3 linked regions of the Drosophila melanogaster genome follow. The protein of the gene in region 1 interacts with the protein of each later gene in a pairwise test. Each region holds a gene or a part of one and is shown on either strand. Other genes may lie near its edges.

The links.
Region 2: the proteins of ng2 (region 1) and CG11790 interact in a two-hybrid assay, tested with the Drosophila melanogaster proteins (one large-scale study listed by BioGRID).
Region 3: the proteins of ng2 (region 1) and trn interact in a two-hybrid assay, tested with the Drosophila melanogaster proteins (one large-scale study listed by BioGRID).

What each region holds. Positions count from the first base shown.
Region 1 is NC_004354.4:3,238,380-3,243,180, forward strand, and holds ng2 (new glue 2), read right to left. Parts: upstream 2,193-4,801; 5' UTR 2,156-2,192; coding exon 1,817-2,155; 3' UTR 1,647-1,816; downstream 1-1,646. Other genes in the region: ng3 (new glue 3), read right to left, coding at 3,238-3,678; ng1 (new glue 1), read left to right, coding at 4,071-4,394.
Region 2 is NT_033777.3:25,044,549-25,050,885, reverse strand, and holds CG11790 (uncharacterized protein), read right to left. Parts: upstream 3,181-6,337; 5' UTR 3,101-3,180; coding exon 2,968-3,100; exon of another isoform or gene 2,862-2,967; coding exon 2,537-2,861; intron 2,445-2,536; coding exon 2,283-2,444; intron 2,222-2,282; coding exon 2,096-2,221; intron 2,008-2,095; coding exon of another isoform or gene 1,998-2,007; exon of another isoform or gene 1,978-1,997; intron 1,615-1,977; coding exon 1,452-1,614; 3' UTR 1,431-1,451; downstream 1-1,430. Other genes in the region: CG11786 (uncharacterized protein), read right to left, coding at 3,526-3,605, 3,671-4,150, 4,405-4,513; 5PtaseI (inositol polyphosphate-5-phosphatase type I), read left to right, coding at 5,837-5,914, 6,130-6,337.
Region 3 is NT_037436.4:13,111,461-13,119,507, reverse strand, and holds trn (tartan), read right to left. Parts: upstream 5,238-8,047; 5' UTR 4,762-5,237; intron 4,320-4,761; 5' UTR 4,211-4,319; coding exon 1,997-4,210; coding exon of another isoform or gene 1,955-1,996; 3' UTR 1,431-1,954; downstream 1-1,430.

The DNA of each region.
Region 1 (4,801 bases):
CGCTTGTTGGTTGTTTTCTTTTTATTGTATTTTTTTTGGCAAGAGTAACAGGAACTGGATTTACTCGAATCAATCAATAAAATAACTCGACACGAGTTTGCGGAATAACTTTGTATACAGCATGAATACACATCAAAAATCGTAGATAGATACATACATACTAACCTTGCAGGTTTGTGTTTTTTTTTTTTTATATTTTAATTATGGTCAGCATATGAACATTATTTATGTGTAACGTTGAATATCTAAAATTGACCGATAAAACATTCAATTCTTCATAGTACTAAACTACTGTTATTTCGGTCTATTGTAACGAATTTGTGTATACTGCCCCTGGGTATTGAAAGACGCAAAGGTCGGTGGGGCGTTTCGAGGATGTGGCAAAAGGATACACAGGATGTGGGCCATCGATGCTCCAATGCGTATGGCTGCATACCCGAAGCAGATCTCGAATTATTTGCCATCAAAACGCTATTGATTTATTAATGCCGGTCATCATTCGACAAGTCGAGGAAGTTTTACCCGGTTGTTGGAAATGCCCTCCCGCATCATACACATTAATTTTGCAAATGTCTCAATAAAAATCAATAACAAATATACGTACATATATTCTGCTTTATGGCTCAATCGGGCGGACTGTGTAGCAAAAAAACAAAAAAAAAGCTCGTTTGCTGGACAAAAAATGATTGAGGACTTGTCTTTCGATTTGTTGAAATTGCAGAATTCTTGATTTTCTTGATTTAAGCCATCTTTTTTATGATTTTGTTGTGTTGATTTTAGATTTTCATATGCACTTCATGTGTTAAAGTCTGCTGAAGGTTTTTTGAAATGTTGGAGAAACTGGAGTGTCTCAGTTTTGTTACAATGGCTGCAAAAACTTTGAGTTTATTCTTGCATATCCAAAGGGTCGTTTTCAACCAGTCCGCAAACTATGCTTTAATAAAATGACAATAATTAATTGCGGAATGGCAACTCACAAGAGTTTTAGCTGCCTGTTTGCTCAGTAGTGGTCTTCGTGCTCGAAAATATTCTGGGCACCACCTGACTCGCCTCTTTTGTTATGGAATTCGTGGCTGTTGTTTTCCGTTTTTTTCTCTTAATGTTTTTCCTCTCACATACATACATACATACATATATGTACCTATATATATATATATGTGTGTGAGTGTGCGGTATCTATGGCAACAGCTTTTCGAATTTCCCCATTCGCTTTTTTGGGCTGAAAAGTTTTTGCTTACGAGTATTTTGCCGCTTGCACAAATTTTCCTTTTGGGGCTTTTGCGGGTTTCCTCGAGTTCGGTTTTGTGCTAATGGATTTCAATGGAAACGCAACTTTTGAGGCCCAGAAAAGCCTTGACGAATAAATGTTTAATGCTCGTCTGCATTTTAATCAACTTATTAAAAAGGATTTCAGATTTCGCATTCACATTCAGATGATCATGAATAAAATATTTGTTCTGAAAATTAATATAAAATGATTAGCTAAATCACTATAGATGTTAAAAAAAATATACAAGAACTTACACATTTATGCGCATCATATATTTATTTATAAAGTAAAGGCATTTCAAATGTTTAAACAATTGTGCAAAACAACTAGTTGCTAAATTTTGTTTGGCCAATAACTGAATAAATAACATTTGACTGACATGTCACAAAATATGTATATTTTTTTATGATTTCTTAATTGACTTGTAAAAGAATTATTGTAGTGTTAGTTAAGCTTATGGACTAAGAAATAAAAAAAAAAGAAAACAATTGGTTCCTGGGGTTCAGCATTGAGAGTGGCGTGGATTTTCTATTGGTCCTGGATCTCTTATTCTTCCGATCTGCGGTTTCTACTGCTGCGACCATTGCGGCTCCTGAGACCCCTTCTCCTTGTGATTTTCCTGACCTTCTTTGGCCTCTTGACCTTTCGCTTATAGTGAGTGACAGTCTTCTTTTTTGAGCTCGAGGAAGGTGAGGCTGTTGTTGTGGTGGCCGAAGCGGAAGTGGTGGTGGTGGCCGAAGCGGAAGTAGTGGTGGTCGCCGAAGCGGAAGTAGTGGTAGTGGCCGAGGCGGAGGTGGACGTGGTGGTTGTGGACGCCTCCGACTCGTGGATCATCACACAGCCGAGGAAGGTGGCGAGAAGTACGAGTACCACGGTGATCTTCATGGTGAGCAAATGCTACAATAGATGCCTTGCTACTGATGCTGTCTTGAAGAACGAAAGCCAGCTTTTATAGTAGTCTTCTCTACTGGGTTTATCCTCTTCGGCCAAACTGTGTCAGCCAAAGAAAAGATGTTATTTTTGGCCAAACAAAAATTCGCTATTTTTCGTATTGGCACAATTGTTTAAACAGATAAAATTTGCACATGTACAAGAGGCATGATAATCTATTTTTGTATGGAGCTTGTCATTTTGCGAAAATTTATTAACTGTTATTATAAAAATCACTTAAGCCACTAATGCCAACGGAAGTCTAGTTTTGTCAACCGTTACTTGGTTTTTAAATAAATGCAAATGACTTAGGTTAAATCTATATACGATAAACGCATTGTAAAAACTGCAGAAAAATTCAACTTTATATACTATACTATATATATAGATTCTTTACTATATATATACTATATACTATACTATATTCAACTATATATTCTGCCACTTAAATAATTTCCCCTAAAAAGTATACTACGGCTTTTAAAACACGGAACACATCAGCTTTAAACTTATTCTCTTAAGCAAATAATGGAAAAATATTAACCAATTAAAATGATTTTGCCATAAATTGTTTACTTTCATTTGTAGCTTGTCTGAATTATAGACAAACAAACACATTGTGTACGTAGCTTAGGAAAGCGCTATTATTAACTATATTAAATAACGTCTGGGGTAGATAATAATACTTAAGATTATAATATATAGCATTTATTGTAGGAGTATGCCCTTTATATTTTTTCTGAAAGTAACTATTTGATCAAAATTTCAATGGTTAATTATACGTTGTAACGAACTTGACATACACTTTAAACAACAAGTGATGCTTCTTATCTCGATCTGTTTTGTAAAGTAAATGCATAAGTAAAAGCATAAGTAAATGCTTTAAGCGGCATTGATAAGCAGAATGAACTAATATCGAAATATTCATTTTATTTGCCTTAAGTGTTTTGAACGGAAAAAAGAAAACCAAAAAGAAAAACTACATTTTCAAAGGCGTCACGATCAGATCAGTTGGTTTGTTGTACAAGATGTGGTCACTAAGACAGGCGTCGGGCACTTCGGGCTCTCCTGCGGCGGATGCGACTGTTACCACTGCGGCTACTGGTGCTGCCACTGCTGCTACTGCTGCTACTGCTGCGGCGACGACGACGGCTGCGTGTGCTGGTGCGATCGGTAGAGCTTTCGTCGTCGTCGGCCTTGTGCCTATAGATATGTCGTATCCGCTTTGGCCTATAAACATGACGTGTATAGTGATACGTCCTCTTCTTCTTTTTACTCTTTGAGGAGGAGGACGAAGTGGTTGTGGTAGCCGCTGTGGTAGTAGTTGTATCCGACGCAGTGGTTGTCGTGGCCGAGGCGGAAGTGGTGGTGGTAGCCGAAGCAGAAGTTGAGGTTGTGGTGGCCGTGGAGCCACCTGTCTGTGGGATTAGCAGACAGGCAACGGTGGCCAGAAGTAAAAGAACACAGGAGTAGCGCATGTTGGATGGCCAGTGGCTGGACAACTGATGTCTGCAGCCAGAGGCCGTGGTCTTTTATACTAATTACCACAGTTAAGCAATTACGTAACAAAATCTTTCATATCTTTTGCGTAGCGAATATAAATTGGACATACATAATTGGGCATTTCTTAAAAGTTATATTATATATTTGCACTTAACTTACTTGACTGTTTGAACAATTGGGCACAATGAACAATTGACAAACTTGCGGGTTTTTTGTTCTGCAAAAACGCTCCCTTTGTTTTGGCCAAAACTGTTGACAAAAATTTGCAAAAGAGGATAAACCCAGTTGAGAAGACTACTATAAAAGCTGGCTTTCGTTCTTCAAGACAGCATCAGTAGCAAGGCATCTATTGTAGCATTTGCTCACCATGAAGATCACCGTGGTACTCGTACTTCTCGCCACCTTCCTCGGCTGTGTGATGATCCACGAGTCGGAGGCGTCCACAACCACCACGTCCACCTCCGCCTCGGCCACTACCACTACTTCCGCTTCGGCGACCACCACTACTTCCGCTTCGGCCACCACCACCACTTCCGCTTCGGCCACCACAACAACAGCCTCACCTTCCTCGAGCTCAAAAAAGAAGACTGTCACTCACTATAAGCGAAAGGTCAAGAGGCCAAAGAAGGTCAGGAAAATCACAAGGAGAAGGGGTCTCAGGAGCCGCAATGGTCGCAGATCCGATGAATGAAAGATCCACAGGACCAATAGGAAATCCACTCCAATCCCAATGCTGAACCCAATGACAACCATAGCACTTAACTTTTGAATAGTTTATAATGAAATAGCAATATTGTTCGTTTATAAGGCAAATATATAAATCAATGAAATAGTATTTCTCATGTTGAATTTCTGCATTTTTTCAAATCAGTTTAAAATGTTTTTTTTTTTTTGGTTGACAGATTGACTGAATGTAAAGTTATCAGTAGTTGAAAAAGTTTGTGTTAATTATATGTATTTATTTAGTAATATTACGGCTGATCATAGTTGCATTTTCAAAATTCTAAGAATTGTATGATCTTTCGCTCATATATCATTTAGGTTAGTAACTTTTCTCACTTATAAAATGAAAGCTTTAATAAACAATCATCCCGCAAA
Region 2 (6,337 bases), on another chromosome or scaffold:
GCAGCTACGCAGCGTTACAGCGCGACTAGAATATCGATTTTCTGTAATTGGGCTGGCGTTTTGGGTGGTGAGTTAGTCATGATGGCTGCGCACTATACTTTTTAGCTCAGCCCCTACTCCGAAGTTTGGTTATATTCAGCGGTTCCTTTGTTTGTTATGTTTGTTGTTGGGTTTTGGCCAGTTTCTCTATTGCGAGTGCCTTTCCCGAGGTGGTGGTGTATTTATAGGAATGACACTTTTCATCTTTTCAATGCTAGACATAACTTACACAATATAATCAAATTTGTTGTTTTTCACTAGGCCAAGCGGAGGAAAACCGAAACGGAAAAGCAGAATAGCGTAGAAGCAATAAAGCAGAAAAACAGACAGACGTGTCGAGTATTTTCTAGTCGTGGTGCTCGTGCAGGGGAAAAATGCGATTAATGCTGGCACTCTTCACTACAACCACACATCCACACAAATGCGACCGTTGAATGTCTGCACATTTTCTTGAACTGTTCTACACGTAAGTACGCACATTAGATTCGACTTGGACTTCAGTTCGGTTCGGATGGCAGCGAGTATCTGAATCGCACAGAACTCGCACTCGACTGAACAAAACAAAAGCTACGAATCTGACTCATGTGCGCTCGCTTGACTACAGCCACAGCCAACCAAAATCTCAATCGAAAGTCGCTGCGAATGCGAATGTGAGTGTCGTGTGAGTGTAGTGTTCTCTCTCGATCTACCGATATCGATATACCGCACTACACATATATACGTCCCACTCGTATTCGTAATCGTTTTTGTGTTCGTGTGTACTCCTCGCTCTTTTTTCAAGACCTTCTGACGTCAGCTGACATTTAGCGAGCACTGTGTTTTAACCAACACCAATTCGGGTACATTTGCGTGTATTTGGGTATCAGCGGGTGTATAAATAGCGTGTTTTGAGTGATTTACCCCAAGATACAAAAAATCCAGGTTCCGAGGAATACGCTTACGCCAACGATGACCGCTGCGAAACAAATAAAAAAAAACTGCCTAACAACACGATCGCGAATCTCACGCTTTACGAAACGAAACGCTGCTTTAATTTGAGCGTTCCACGCCAAACTATCATCGCACTTAAGCAATTGGCTAGATTGCTAGCCGAGTTAGCCCCTGAACTCCGAGCCCAGTTGCTAAATGGGCCGATCTAAATATTTTTGTTTGCTTGCCCGCTAATTAATTGAAAGCAATCAAGAGATAGGATATAGGTATTGTCAGCGTTGTGCGCCAGTGAACAATGGATCTTTTGCGATATTAGGTATCCATATTTGCATGTTCCGCTTCCACCGTTCCAGCCAAAAGAGCTGCCAGTTTTTGTGGCGTTAGGAATTGCAGCAGTTGAATTTTCGCGCCCACTTTTCCGCTAATTGTTGTCACTCGACTAATTCAAAAACGTCGTGTTTCATTTAGTCTTTATATTAGTTTTATTTCGACTTATTTTTTGTTTTCGCAGGCTCTGAACTGAATATTTTGGCAACCTTTTTGCCAACGAATAAGAGAGCAACTAAGGCGAAAATACTCAAAGTCGCCAGCGATGTTATGTTTTCAGCTGCAAAATAACTTTGCAGTGGGCCCAAAAATTCGTTTCTGAAAAGCACGAAAGTTAAAACATTAGCTCATTTGATCATTGGTTATTAGGATAAACGTTGTGTAGTATTAAATTCGATCTTCTCAAACCAGGAACTGTTTTAACCAGGGTATAATTGATTAATGTAATATTGTTTATGTACAAACTGGATAATATACAACGGTTACGATTAACATTTGGTTCGATATTAATCAACGGAGTGATATTAACAATTGTTTTATGCTCGATGGTGGAATCAGTGTCTATGTTGAATACCCTCAAACTGGCGTTATATGCAACCTTGTACCGGGGACAAAGAATCAGTATTTGTTAACTAATAGTAATTATTAATAGGTTTACAAGTTTTATCTTGGCTCACTTACTAAACACATGTATCAGTTTCTCACAAATCCCTATAAAAAGGTCATAATCGGACTTTGAGTTTAAAATTCGATCGATGGATGAATTTAAAATCATTTTAGCTATGAGAGGAATACTTACACGGCACTTGGGATTGCGGGCACTGGTTGAGGATGGCTCTGGGTATATCCCTTCTCAGCAAACTGGACAAAGGCTTCGGGACTGTATTGCTTGGCTGAATATTTGTACATCTTTCCTTGCCTCAAGCTGTAATGATTATAATTTATATAATCTATTCTTGGACACAACCAAAGCGATCAGGGCTTACAAAATAAAAGCCGGTGCTTCCAATACTCCCAGTCGCGTAGCAGTTGAGATTCCAGACTCCAAACTGTTCATGCGGGCAATATTCAGCTTTCGCTTTAGCTTTCCGCCCACAGACTCCCAAACGGCATAGAGTCGCTGACAGACGGTACATTCGGCCGAAGAGCTGGAAGTGGGTGTAGGTGAGCATATGTGCACATATATGTACATCTCATGACGCTTAGATGGCGACCTCAACGCATGACTAATATAGCTTACAAGAAGATAAACCAGTCCCCGGTAGTGGCACCCGACGAGGCTTGAGTCAGGTGCTCGAAGTTGTCGTCGGAAAGCTCTTTGACCGCTGGCTCTAAGTTGTCATTGAAGAAGTCTAGGATTTCGTCATCGTTGATCTCGCCATGGTATAGAATGGGTATTCCTCGCCTGAAGAACACCAAAGCGGGCTCCTTGCTGGGGTCATAGATGGATACCAGGTTGCTGTCCACCGACTGGACCACAATGGCCGACAAGGTCTCCTCCAGCTGGGCACGTATCTTGGTCACCATGTTCTCATATTCCACGCAGCGCTGGCAATTGTTTTTGTCTGCAATTAAGTGTGCTCGTTAGCCAGTAACCGGTGTACCATCCTCCATATGCACAGTGGACACGTAGGCTGGATTTCTCTGGCTGACTTTCCTACCAATACTCACTGAATAGGACAACCACATTGCTGCTGCCGGTCAGGAGTTGAATCAACTCGGTGTCGTCCACACGCCGCAAATCCTGGCCAACGGCACAGCCCAGACTCAGGGCTATAATAACAACCGATACTATGTGCAGCATTTTTTGGCTGTGGATCTGCAGCAGCGGAGTTGATCACTGGCGAATGCGAATGAATCCGATCGCAACTTGGATGCGGACGCAGAGTGAGCCCGTCTATCGATAGTCGGCGAAATGTATCGTCGCCAGTGATGCGCAAGGTGACAGCTTTCGTACCTAGGTACGTTTGCAGGTACAAATGTGTACCTTGGCTAATATTCTGGTAGATAGGCCGACTACTTAATGAGTACTGTTCAAGAACCTAATTAAGCGTATCAAGCCATCAGGATGTTGGATTGATTTAAGAACCAGTCTGAATCAATGATATGCCCCAAGTTCAAACACAAGAGTAAAATACGAAATACTTTTATTTATAAGACTTTAACAAATAAATAATCAAGTGTAATACAATTTGTAACAATGCATTTATAACTAATTTTGGTATTGATCTACGAACTTCTTCCTTCAAAACTTTCTATCGAGTTTATTACAAAATCGTATAGGTTCTCAATTTGTTGGGCTAGTTTATCTGTAAAAGGGAGAAATATAAATATTAATAATTAATGCTTAAAGCACTATATAGAAACACCTTACCCTTATCTGTCTCTACAAGTTTGCTTTCCATGCCATCGCTCTCACCAGATCCAGACATCATATCATCCTTGAAAATGTTTTTCAGCTTCGGCAGAACCAAGAGCAAGAAAATCAGGCCGATGAACTTGACGATTTTCTTGAATATCAACAGCTTGAGCAAAATCTTTCCAAGCGTATACAGATTGATCTTGGACTTAAGCTTTTCCAGAATGGAGTCGTGCGAATGGTAGGGAATGAACGGAGCTGGCTTGTAAAACGGAGGAGGTGGTGGTCCATAGGAAGGATAGCCAGCTGGCGGTCCATATTCAGGAGGAGGAGGCAGATAGTTGTTGTTAGGCGGTGGCAGGTAGTTGTTGTTCGGCGGCGGATTGTACTGGTATCCATTGTTCGGCGGAGGCAGGTACTCCGGAGCAGGTGTGGCTGGAGGCAAGTAGCTGTTGCTCGGCGGGGAGCTGTAGCTGTAGCCCCCACTATCGTTGCCTAATAAATGCGAAAGAATCTTATAAGTTTAGCATTCAAGGATAATCCAAGAAGTTAATCCAATGACTTCTGTCATAAAGATTTGAATAGTTGTTTGTACACTGAATTATCGTTTTAAGCACTCAGTGCCAATTGATAGTACAGAAACACATATATTTGTAAGTGTATATTATTAATTTCACTTTCAGTTTGCTTTACTATAAGGTTTTTCAGCACTTTAGAATCTCTTTTGATCCCTATTATCTTTCACACACCGAAATCCAATGAGTTCGAGCTTTGAATATCCCCGGAATAGCTATCTCCAGCACTAATGCAAATGCAGGAAGTGCATATAATCAGAACGACCAGGTATTCGGTACGCATTTTGCGATCGCGTTGAGATATGAGTTAAGCGGTTCCTAAAAGTACAATAAACGGTTTGCCTGCCGTCCGTCTCTTTATAAATTTGGGGCCGAAAACATTGTGGCAAAGAAAATATCAGGTGGACGGACGTGTGTGCAAGTATTTATAACTGCCATCGCATTTCCCCCGTAAGGCTTGGCCCCCACTTATAGGGCATATATGTGCAGCGTGGAGCCGGAGTGGAGGAATTGAATTCACTTGTGTATTCTTGCAAGAAATGTGGCTACCGTCTCACGTGCTGTTCAGTATTCATGCTACGTGCAATCGCTTGGATTGTGTTGGAGATTTCGAAAGAGACGCACAGAGTTCAATACAACTTTCACTACCCAACTTTCAAAAAGCCTGGAAATAGCAAACCGCCTATATTATATAGTGTTTGCCAGTTTGTGTTTCATTTGGGCATTTGACATCGAATTTTTGACAAATTGTTAAACCCGTTTTGTGGGAATTACGGATTTGCATAAGTGACACAAATTGAAGACATTTCGGACAAGTGTTGCGGTTGTAATACTTTTGAAGATACTTAGGAATTCTGTCAAAGATTGAAACCGTCATACGCAGTACGCAGTAACTACTGTAAGCTGTTTGAATGAAAAGATGATGTACACCGTAGGTCTTAATGGGCCTTAATAGTTTTATGTCGGCGGATATGCTTATAATATAGACAACGGATCACCAAATTGCTTAATGTGCCACCACACCGCATGAATTGTTAATTTCGAGCTGCATTTATACGCATTTAATTGCAGTTACACTGAAATTCAAAAACTTAGTCAAGATAATAGGATAAATAATAATATTAAGGATCAAAGAACTGTAAAACATTAGAAACCTGCAAGTTTCAATGTTATTGCTTTGTCCAAACCCATTAATTTCTATTCCCTGTGCCATTTAATTGTTTATATCTACTTTTAACTGGCCATTGTACTCATGATATTACCGTTACTTTTATCTCGGTCACTGCCGGAAGTGACCTAATTACGATTCTGAAACCTAAAGTTAACAAAATATGAAAGAAATGAAGCTTAACTATTTAAATTCGTGAGGGGTATTGTATTATTCAATGTAAACGAAATAAATAAGTTTAATTAAAAAACTGCAGAGATATGCATAAATATATTTGAAATATAAACGATTACGGTCACTTAAAAGCTAATAATCGAAATGGCCTAGTTTTCGCCAGGCGGTATGGTCACACTGCGCCTTGACTCAATTAGTATTTACAATTGGAACGCTGATAAAAAGTGAATAAAATTGTTGCATCGCAGGCGAAAGTGGGATCAAATGGAGTCAGCACAGGAAGACGCGTCCAGCACGGATGTGTTTCTGGTCACGGCAAACGTTGGCAGCCTATTTGAGGACGTAAGTGGCCGTTGGAACGGATGCGCCATGTCCACAGGGCTAGGAAGTATACATGTTTACGTACGGCCCATACATACACGATGCGTAAATCGCATATTTATGTATGGGCCCAGTGACATACATAGATATGTATATCCGAATCCGAGTTCCCAAACAAATTGGTATTCAGCACATTCAGCGCCCGCCGATAATCGAATTTCCAATCCAATTTGCAGCCGGAGAGGCTTCTGCAGCTATGGCTAAGCGAATTTCTTGCAAAGATCGCCGTCGCACAGCCCCGTTTCCTGGCCCTCCACCTACAGGAGGTGGGCGGCAAGACGTACGAGAAGTCCATGGAGTACGTCCAGGAGTTCATCAGGTGCCTCTGCGATGCTCCCGAAATGGGCGACTTCACCTGCGTACACATCTTCATGGACGAGGACT
Region 3 (8,047 bases), on another chromosome or scaffold:
TGATAAATGGCGGGCCGAATCGAAAACGAAATCTCAATCTCTCTGAACTCTAAACCTGATCTGGGGGAGCTCTCGCTTTTGGAACAATTGTGAAATGCTTTAATTTCTGAAGTACCTTTAATGAGCATTTTCAACATGGTCATCATACAATCAGCCAGCCAGATGGGCCACAATGGTCTTCAATATACATGTGGACCAGTCGGGCTTTCGGTTCGATAATTATTGCCTTCGGGTAGCTGGGGCTTTGAGGTTCCGAGTCTTCACTCAGAATCCGTTTCGGGTGGAACACAATCTGTAAATGTATCTCGGTGTTGGAGTCCGTATCTTTGCGACCATATCGCCATGTATCTGTATCTGTATCCGTATCTGCGGCTGAGCGTGTGTTGAGGCGAATTAATGATTACATTCGCTTTTGCTTCGTAAGCTTGATCCACTAACCCTTGCCAGCGGCCCCTTCGGTAGCTCTTTCACTCAACTGGAGGCCATGAAAGGAAATTGTAATGATCGAAATCAAAATGTTTTCGTTACTTTGCCTCCTAATGAAGCTTGAATAGTGCGAATGACTCTCAAGTCTTAGCTCTCTCTCACTCTTTCTCGTTCTTGAGTGTCGAATCTCGAGTACACGCGCCTTTTAATCGAAATTTGATGATGGATTCCCCGCCAGCAGCCGGAATCCAATGGGGAAATCAGTCAGAGGTTGAGTATCTGGTCTTTACTCTTTCTTAGCCGCCTTTATTGTTGGCCATTTGGGGGGCTTGGTTCTGGCCGCTATTTGCCTTTGTTATTTATTTATTGTTATTACCGTACATTGCTCGCTGGAAGTTCTGAAATGATTTCTATTTTCGTAATTGTCTAAATAGGTTTCGATTTGGCTTGAAATTGAGCGAAAAGAGAAAACCAACGAAAAATAGGGTTCTTGAGGGTTCCCAGGGGCAAACTTCGACGGTGAGTTGGCAACTTTCTGGTCCGCCAGGTGGCAGCTGCATTGCAGGTGACAATGAAGGGGTGGCTGTACCCATATATACACTTATACATATATATTTGTATATGGTAGTAGTTACACATGTGTTTCCATGCACATTGAATTGAAAATTATACCTCTTCCCCACTTGCCACGCTCTGCTTGAGTCGGGTCTGCAAAAGTTTTCAAGCTTGTTACTATTGAATAATAGTATATTAATTTTACTGCATTTTTTATTCCCCCGAGCACGGTATGCAAGCCCTCAACTTACTTTTAATTGAATTGAAAGTCAAAAGTTTTGAGCTCGTGGAAAAAAAAGTGAAAATGTCGAGACAAATTGACACAGAGGAAAAGTTGCCGGTGCACAGGGAAAATGTATAATTAAAGGCAAATTTCCACGGCAGTATGCTGGCTGAAAGGAAAATCTGCTAAATTAAGAGCAGAATGAACACACACAGTTGTATTTTTTAGTTTTCAAATGAGTTTTGTTTTCATTGCGTATATTTTCTGTTTTCGTTTGATATTTTGTTTTGTCGCTTAAATTTGCATAAATTTCTTGTTCTAACTAATACATAAATAGTTGTTTGCATCTGATACGATTTTGCATTTAACAATAAATTAAATAAGTTAAAATTAAGCTTACGTTGACTCTCAGTGCTTGTTGTCTTTATCTAAACTCGTATATCATTTACAATTCATCTTAAAGACTACGATTAACTTATGTTCGGAGGGGGACGAGGAAAACAGTAGTGTTGGCAAAGTGCTGATAGAATTGGAGATCCTTCAGTGTTCTATAGGTTCGAAAGAGTGCTTTAAAGTTAAGTATGTACAAGGCAAGATTTTCTCTGACTTAATGCCTAGGTTGTATTTCGATTACAGCTACTACAATGTTTTCCTTACGCCTAACTACACGCTAATTGTGTCTGGAGGGGAGTGAGTGGTTTTAGTGGGCTTCTTGGGGGTTTTGGCATCACAGTGTTGGGCAGCGGACTACTAAGCATAGATGCTCAGCTGCCTGCGTCGATAGGTCGAGGATCAGTGCGTGAACTGACGCAGGGTGTTGTTGTTCTGCTGCTGCTTCTGAGAGGCGGACTTCTGCTGGAAGGATCTGCGTCCTGTGGTGGCACACAGTCCATTCCGCAGGGGCAAAGCTGGTGGCATCGGTGGCGGCGTGGGCGTCTTGCTGCGACCCAGTTGCTCCAACGGCATCGAGTAGTGGGTATTGCTGTAGATGTAGTTGTGGTCCAGGATCTCGCTGCCCATCTCCTGATCGTATAGCTCACGCTGCTTGAAGTGCTCTTGGGTCAGTCGCAGTTGCGGCTGATTCGGTCCACCCAACGGGGCGCCATGCACCATGGGCACATCCGCGTATGAGTAGCAGGAATCACCAACTGTAGCCGTGGCCGAGAGGAACTGCGGCTTGGTATAGTGGTTCAGCTGGGGATTCTGCTGATGCACATCCCGACCCATGGTGGCCGACTTCATGTGCAGCACAAATGAGGCACTGTCGTCGATGGCTCCCTGTGAAACCAGGGCCTTGTTGTTATTCAGCTTCTTCTCACTGATCATTGTGGCGGTGGGCACTACCAACTGTTGGAACTTCTGCTGGGGATCGATGGCGCCCAGGTCATTGACAGGCATCGGGCACATTCCATAGTGATGGGTAGCTCCGGGATGATGAGGTGCGGTATAGGTGTTGGGGAACGTGGAGTGGATGCCCAGGGAGCAGGGATGATGCTGATGGCGCGACATGTAGTCCTCGTCGCAGAAGGTCTTCTGGTATTCCCGTTCCTTACGGCCCAGAGCCGAGTTACCCCACAGACCGCCCTTGATGGTTTCGCGGATCTTATGACGGCAGCGGTACAGAACCAAAGCCAAGGCGGTAATCGTGGCAGCAGATCCCACCAGGAGAGCTCCAATCAAGGCCTGCTTGCGAGGATCGGCATGTGTGCATCCCATCATAGCAGGATTCAAATGGCGCAAGGATTCACCGCGCAGACGTTCGGGGAACTCACACAGCAGTTCGGAGACATCATCCTGACTGGCATTCTTGGCCACCAGCAGATTGTGCAGCCACATCACACGGCAGTCGCAGGACAAGGGATTTTCGGAAAGGTCCAGAGTCTGAAGATCCTTCCACGGGAACAGACCTTCTGCCAAGGAAGTCAGCGCATTGGCCTTGAGAACAACATGCTTCAATTGGGACAGCCCACTGAGGGCACCTTCTTGAACCTCCAAAAGCATTTTGTTGGACGATAGATTCAGATACTCCAGGTTACCATTGTCGCTGAAGGCTCCGGTCATCACACGCTTCAGCCTAAGAGCTCCATTCACCTCCAGGCGTTTAAGTTGCTTCAGGCCCATGAATGCGCCTTCGCTGATCACCTCGAAATCGTTTTGACCCAGGGACAGCTGCTCCAGACGAACCAGCTTGCTGAGACCCACGGAGGGAATGCGATCCAGACGATTATCGGAAAGATCAAGAATGCGCAACTCCTGCAAGCCGAGGAAGCTGTCGTGGGAGATGTTGCGTAGACTGGCACCCTTGAGTTCCAGGCGAGTAAGTCCTTTCAGGTCCTGGAAGGCATCAGCCTGAATGCTCTGCAGGGTGTTCATTCCAAGGAACAGCTCAGCCAGACTGGGCATGGCTTGGAAGATCACGGGATCGGGAACGGTGGTCAAGGCATTATCATCCAGATAAAGGATGCGCAACTGGGAGAGTCCATCGAAAGCCTTGGGATCCAGATAGCCGATGCGATTCTCGCCCAGATTCAGCTCCTCGATCTTCAGGAGAGGAGTAAAGGTGCCCTGGTGAAGTTCCGAGATTTGGTTACCACGCAGATTCAGAACAGTAACTGCCGACAGACCAATGAAGGTCTTATTGCTGATCTGCCCAATCTTGTTGTGATTCAGATGCACCTCCTGCAGCTTCTTCTGATAGGCGAAGGTGCGCTGCGGAATGGTCATCAGGTGATTCGAGGACAGATCGAGGAAGGTCAGCTCCGCGTAGAACTGGATGGACGAGTCGATGGTCTTGATCTTGTTGCTCTTAATCACCAGTCGCTGGATGGATGGATTCAGAGCAATGGGCAGCACGTCCAGCTGGCCCTCGCCACATTGTACCACCAGGGTATTATCATCGCACTGACAGCCGGGCGGGCAATTGGCCAAGCCCGCCGCAGGCTCCACACCAATGCTGGCCAAAATGCACCAGATGCCCACGAAGGCGATCATCATGTTTCGCTGCATCTTGGGATCTCTGATTCTCTTTTGATTTCTGTCTTTCGGTTTGCTTCGCTCTGTGCTGCTGTTTCAATTCTTTCAGAGTTTCTGTTGATTTTTTCAGTTTTCCATAGTGCTGCGGGTAGACAAACGAGGGAAAAATTTTCAAAATTAGTTTCTGTCTTTTCTGTGAGTTCGGTTAATTAGCCTATTTTCGTGGAACTATTTCTATTGATTAAAATTTACAGGGTTCTTGAAGCAAACATTTTTATGTTTTCACAAGTATTTCATATTGGATATATTTTTAGATTTGGTGTTGGAAAAATCTATATTAAGTTGCTAATGTTTCGGTCCTAATAAATTCTCATTTTAGAAATTTCAAACTCAATAAATATTTAAAGTCAGTAATTTAACTGAACAAAATTAAAATGTTCCAATTATATTTTTCGTATTTTATATTTTCTGGCAGCCTAACTTTATTTTGTTGAAACTTTTCTTCCGGTATTCTAATTTCCACAATATTCCACTTTTTCAGCACTTTTATAAAATGCACATTGTATGCCACAAGTGAAACTTACCTAATGTTTTTCTTTGATGATTGCTTGGCAACAATTTTTAGTTTTCAGCAGATTAAATCGTTGGTGAACAGAACATAAAATGCAAAATGCAGTGTTTCGGTTTTTGTTTGTATTTTGTGATGTGTTTGCGTTTTCACTGTTTCACTTTTGGAAAAATATTTTGAATAGCCAATTTTTTGTTTTGTCACATTTGCTCAACTAAAACATGTGTGTTGTTCAAAATTAAAATTTTGGTTTGTTGTATTGCTTGTTTCGTTTTTTTTTTTTTTGTTTGCTGATTGTTTGTGAAACGTGCGCGATAATCCAATGGTTCGCTTTGACTGCACGCTTCAAGTTGTTGTTAGGCGTTCGACGGGTTTCCGTTTGAATTTACGTATTTCGTGTTACCAACTCTGGTAAGAGAGAGGAACTTGGTCGCAATTGGGTCTCTATAGCTGGCAGACAACCGCTCACGACGAGGCAACGAACTACACTGATTTTACGAAGTGCCTGCTGCACAAACGATACCTCGGCTGGCCACTTTTGCCGGGGTGGTTGAGCGGTACAGAGCGGTAACAGAGCCGTTTGAGCGGTATGAGATGGTGGTGGTGGTGGTGGTGGCTGGCAGCTGCATCGGACATGGGTAAAAAGAGCGGCGTGGCTGAGGCGAGACGGCCTTGCGAAGGCGAGTTCTCTCAGATAAACCCGCCAGCAGGTAGTCGGAACTGGTTGTGAGTGTCGGATACAAATGTATCTCTAGTTGTCTCTCTCGATGGAGAACTCAGTGTGGCGAGTTTCACTCGAAGTTTCCACTCATTTATCTGGCTATACGTGCCCCATATATCCAGGCTCGCTCTCCGACAATTGCAACTCACACGTTGAACGAGCCGCACGTCCTCGACGAAATGCTGTCGCCCATAAAACCTAAAACTAGAACTGAAATAGTCAACGAAAAAAGTAAAAAAAAAACAAAACTGAAGAGAAAACTAAAACAGCCCAAGTGCTGTGGCATAATTAAGACCCCATAAAAAGTACATAGTCCTACGCAGAATAGGAGCTAGATGGATATTTATGGGCCGCAGACATGTCCTGGCCTAAGTGGAGCCTTTTAGTGCGGTTTACAGTCCAAATGTGACGCACTTGAAATTGATATTTTTGTATCTGCGAGTTTGTATCTCGAGGACACGAAAGTGTTGCACTCGAGTATTTCTCAAAAAATATTGTGTCATCTGATACATTTGAGATGCATTTCTCATTCTTGGCATGCAGAGCAAACAACTATTTACAACTCGGCAAAATCACAAAAAAAAGAACGGGAAAAAAACAACTGTGACAACAAGAAAATCAACTTTAAATGGCCATAACTTTGTGCCAACATATGTTGCTGGATCAGAGGGGACCGGGGTGGGGCACATTTTCCGGGCCTTACGGCATGCGGTTTTCCTCCACATTTTCCACAGCCAAGCCCCCCTGCCCCACCGACATAACTGGCATATTTCCGTCTCCGAGAATTTCGCACACAAAATTTATTTATCGTACCGAGATGCAAATCTTTTTCGACTGCTTTTCTGTATCTTTCATAAACTAACCAATAAGTAAACTTGTTAAATTTATACCATATTACCCAAATTTGAGGCATCTTTGCGTATTGAAAGCCAAGGCAACTGTTAATAGTTGCTTGACCATAGGATTTTATGAATTTGATTTGTTGCCTTTGAGAGAAAATAAATACATATACATAATTTATGACAGAAGTAGTTTTGGAAAATTTTCGTTGCCAAGAGAGATAAATTTAGCCTTTAAACATGTATTTCAAAACTCGTCTTTACAATTTATTTAAAGTAAAAAAATTTGATTTGCCTAACTTTGTTGGCAAACATTTTTTTCGTTTCTACTCTTTTGCTGAACTGAAATCTAAATTAAATTGTTGGTTCAATTTCTACATTATTAAATGGGGTACACAACCTATTTTGAATAATAAACCAACTATTGGTTCTCATACTAAAACCTTACATTTGCTCTTTGATGAAACATTCATAAAATTGCAGGCCTTTAAAGATCTGTTTCAAGAAATTAAACAGTTTTGCTGACTTCTTAGAGAAAGGCTTTGGCGAAGTATAATAATAAACTTGAATACAAATGCAGGAAATGCAAACAAATTGCCATAACAGCGGCTTGTAAGAAAAGTATCTTTGGCTTGTAAACTGCCAAAGTGCTCTACATAGGTAAAGACTGCGTAGTTTCCTTTCAAAAACCAGATACGAAACACACAGTGATTGCTGCACATGCAGCTAACGGAAGTTTGCGTTTTTATTTTTATATATGTGCCACAAGCTGGGCTAGTCAGGTGCCACAAGCTTTTGGACCCCAGCTCTCACGTTACACATCGGAAAGCCTCAATCTACCCTCTCAATTTGTGACAATGTGTGAGAATTTCCCAGCAATAAAACCCAAATCCAACAACTTAAAATAAAGGCGAGGTGCACCACACACATCTTTATGCTTTCTGTTAACTCTTTCAGTTTGTTTGCACTGCGACTGATGTCCGAATTGCATATGAAAATTGTTTGGCCAAACGCTAAAAGCACTTAAACAATTAGAGGGAGAAACGAAATGGCTGGGGAAGCAGCTTTCTGTGTAATTAGGTAAAACAAGGTCTGGTGAAGGGCTACGACTACTGTCGAATCGCTGCAGCAAAAGAGAAAAATAAATGTAAATATTTTTTGGATAGTATATAGTATAGAGAAAACTAAAATGTAGGAAAATTTGAAATATATATCTCCTCTTATTTAATATCTTTGTTTTAATAAGCTTATGAGTTTAGCTGTCTTAGAACACTGCGTCAATATCCTTCTTGGATTTTTGACTAAGTTATTATACCATTTTCTAGTCACTTTAAACCTTCAGTTCACATCCGAGGAAGTGCCCATTTTTGTGCCGAACCCTGAAAAAATGGTGCTTACATATTCACCGGAATAATGCCAGACATGGGGAAAATCGCCGGCTATCTGAACGGCAAACATAACGCACTTTGACCAAACAAAGAGCTCGAAGTCTCCTGAGAAGTGACTTATGGGAACGGACAGCTGACGAAGTCTCAGTCATATAAATATGCCACATTCAATATGGGTGCGCATGCGCCGCTTCTTTTTAGACCGTTGTTGTTTTATTGGCCCGGCGTTGTTTTAACAAGAAACTTGTTAGTTGCAGCGGGTTAAAGATTTTCGAGTCTTGTACTTGGCCCTGTTTGTTTGCCAGTCGCGACGTCGGCTACCCGTTTCATGTGTTGTTAAATCTTTCGCCGGTT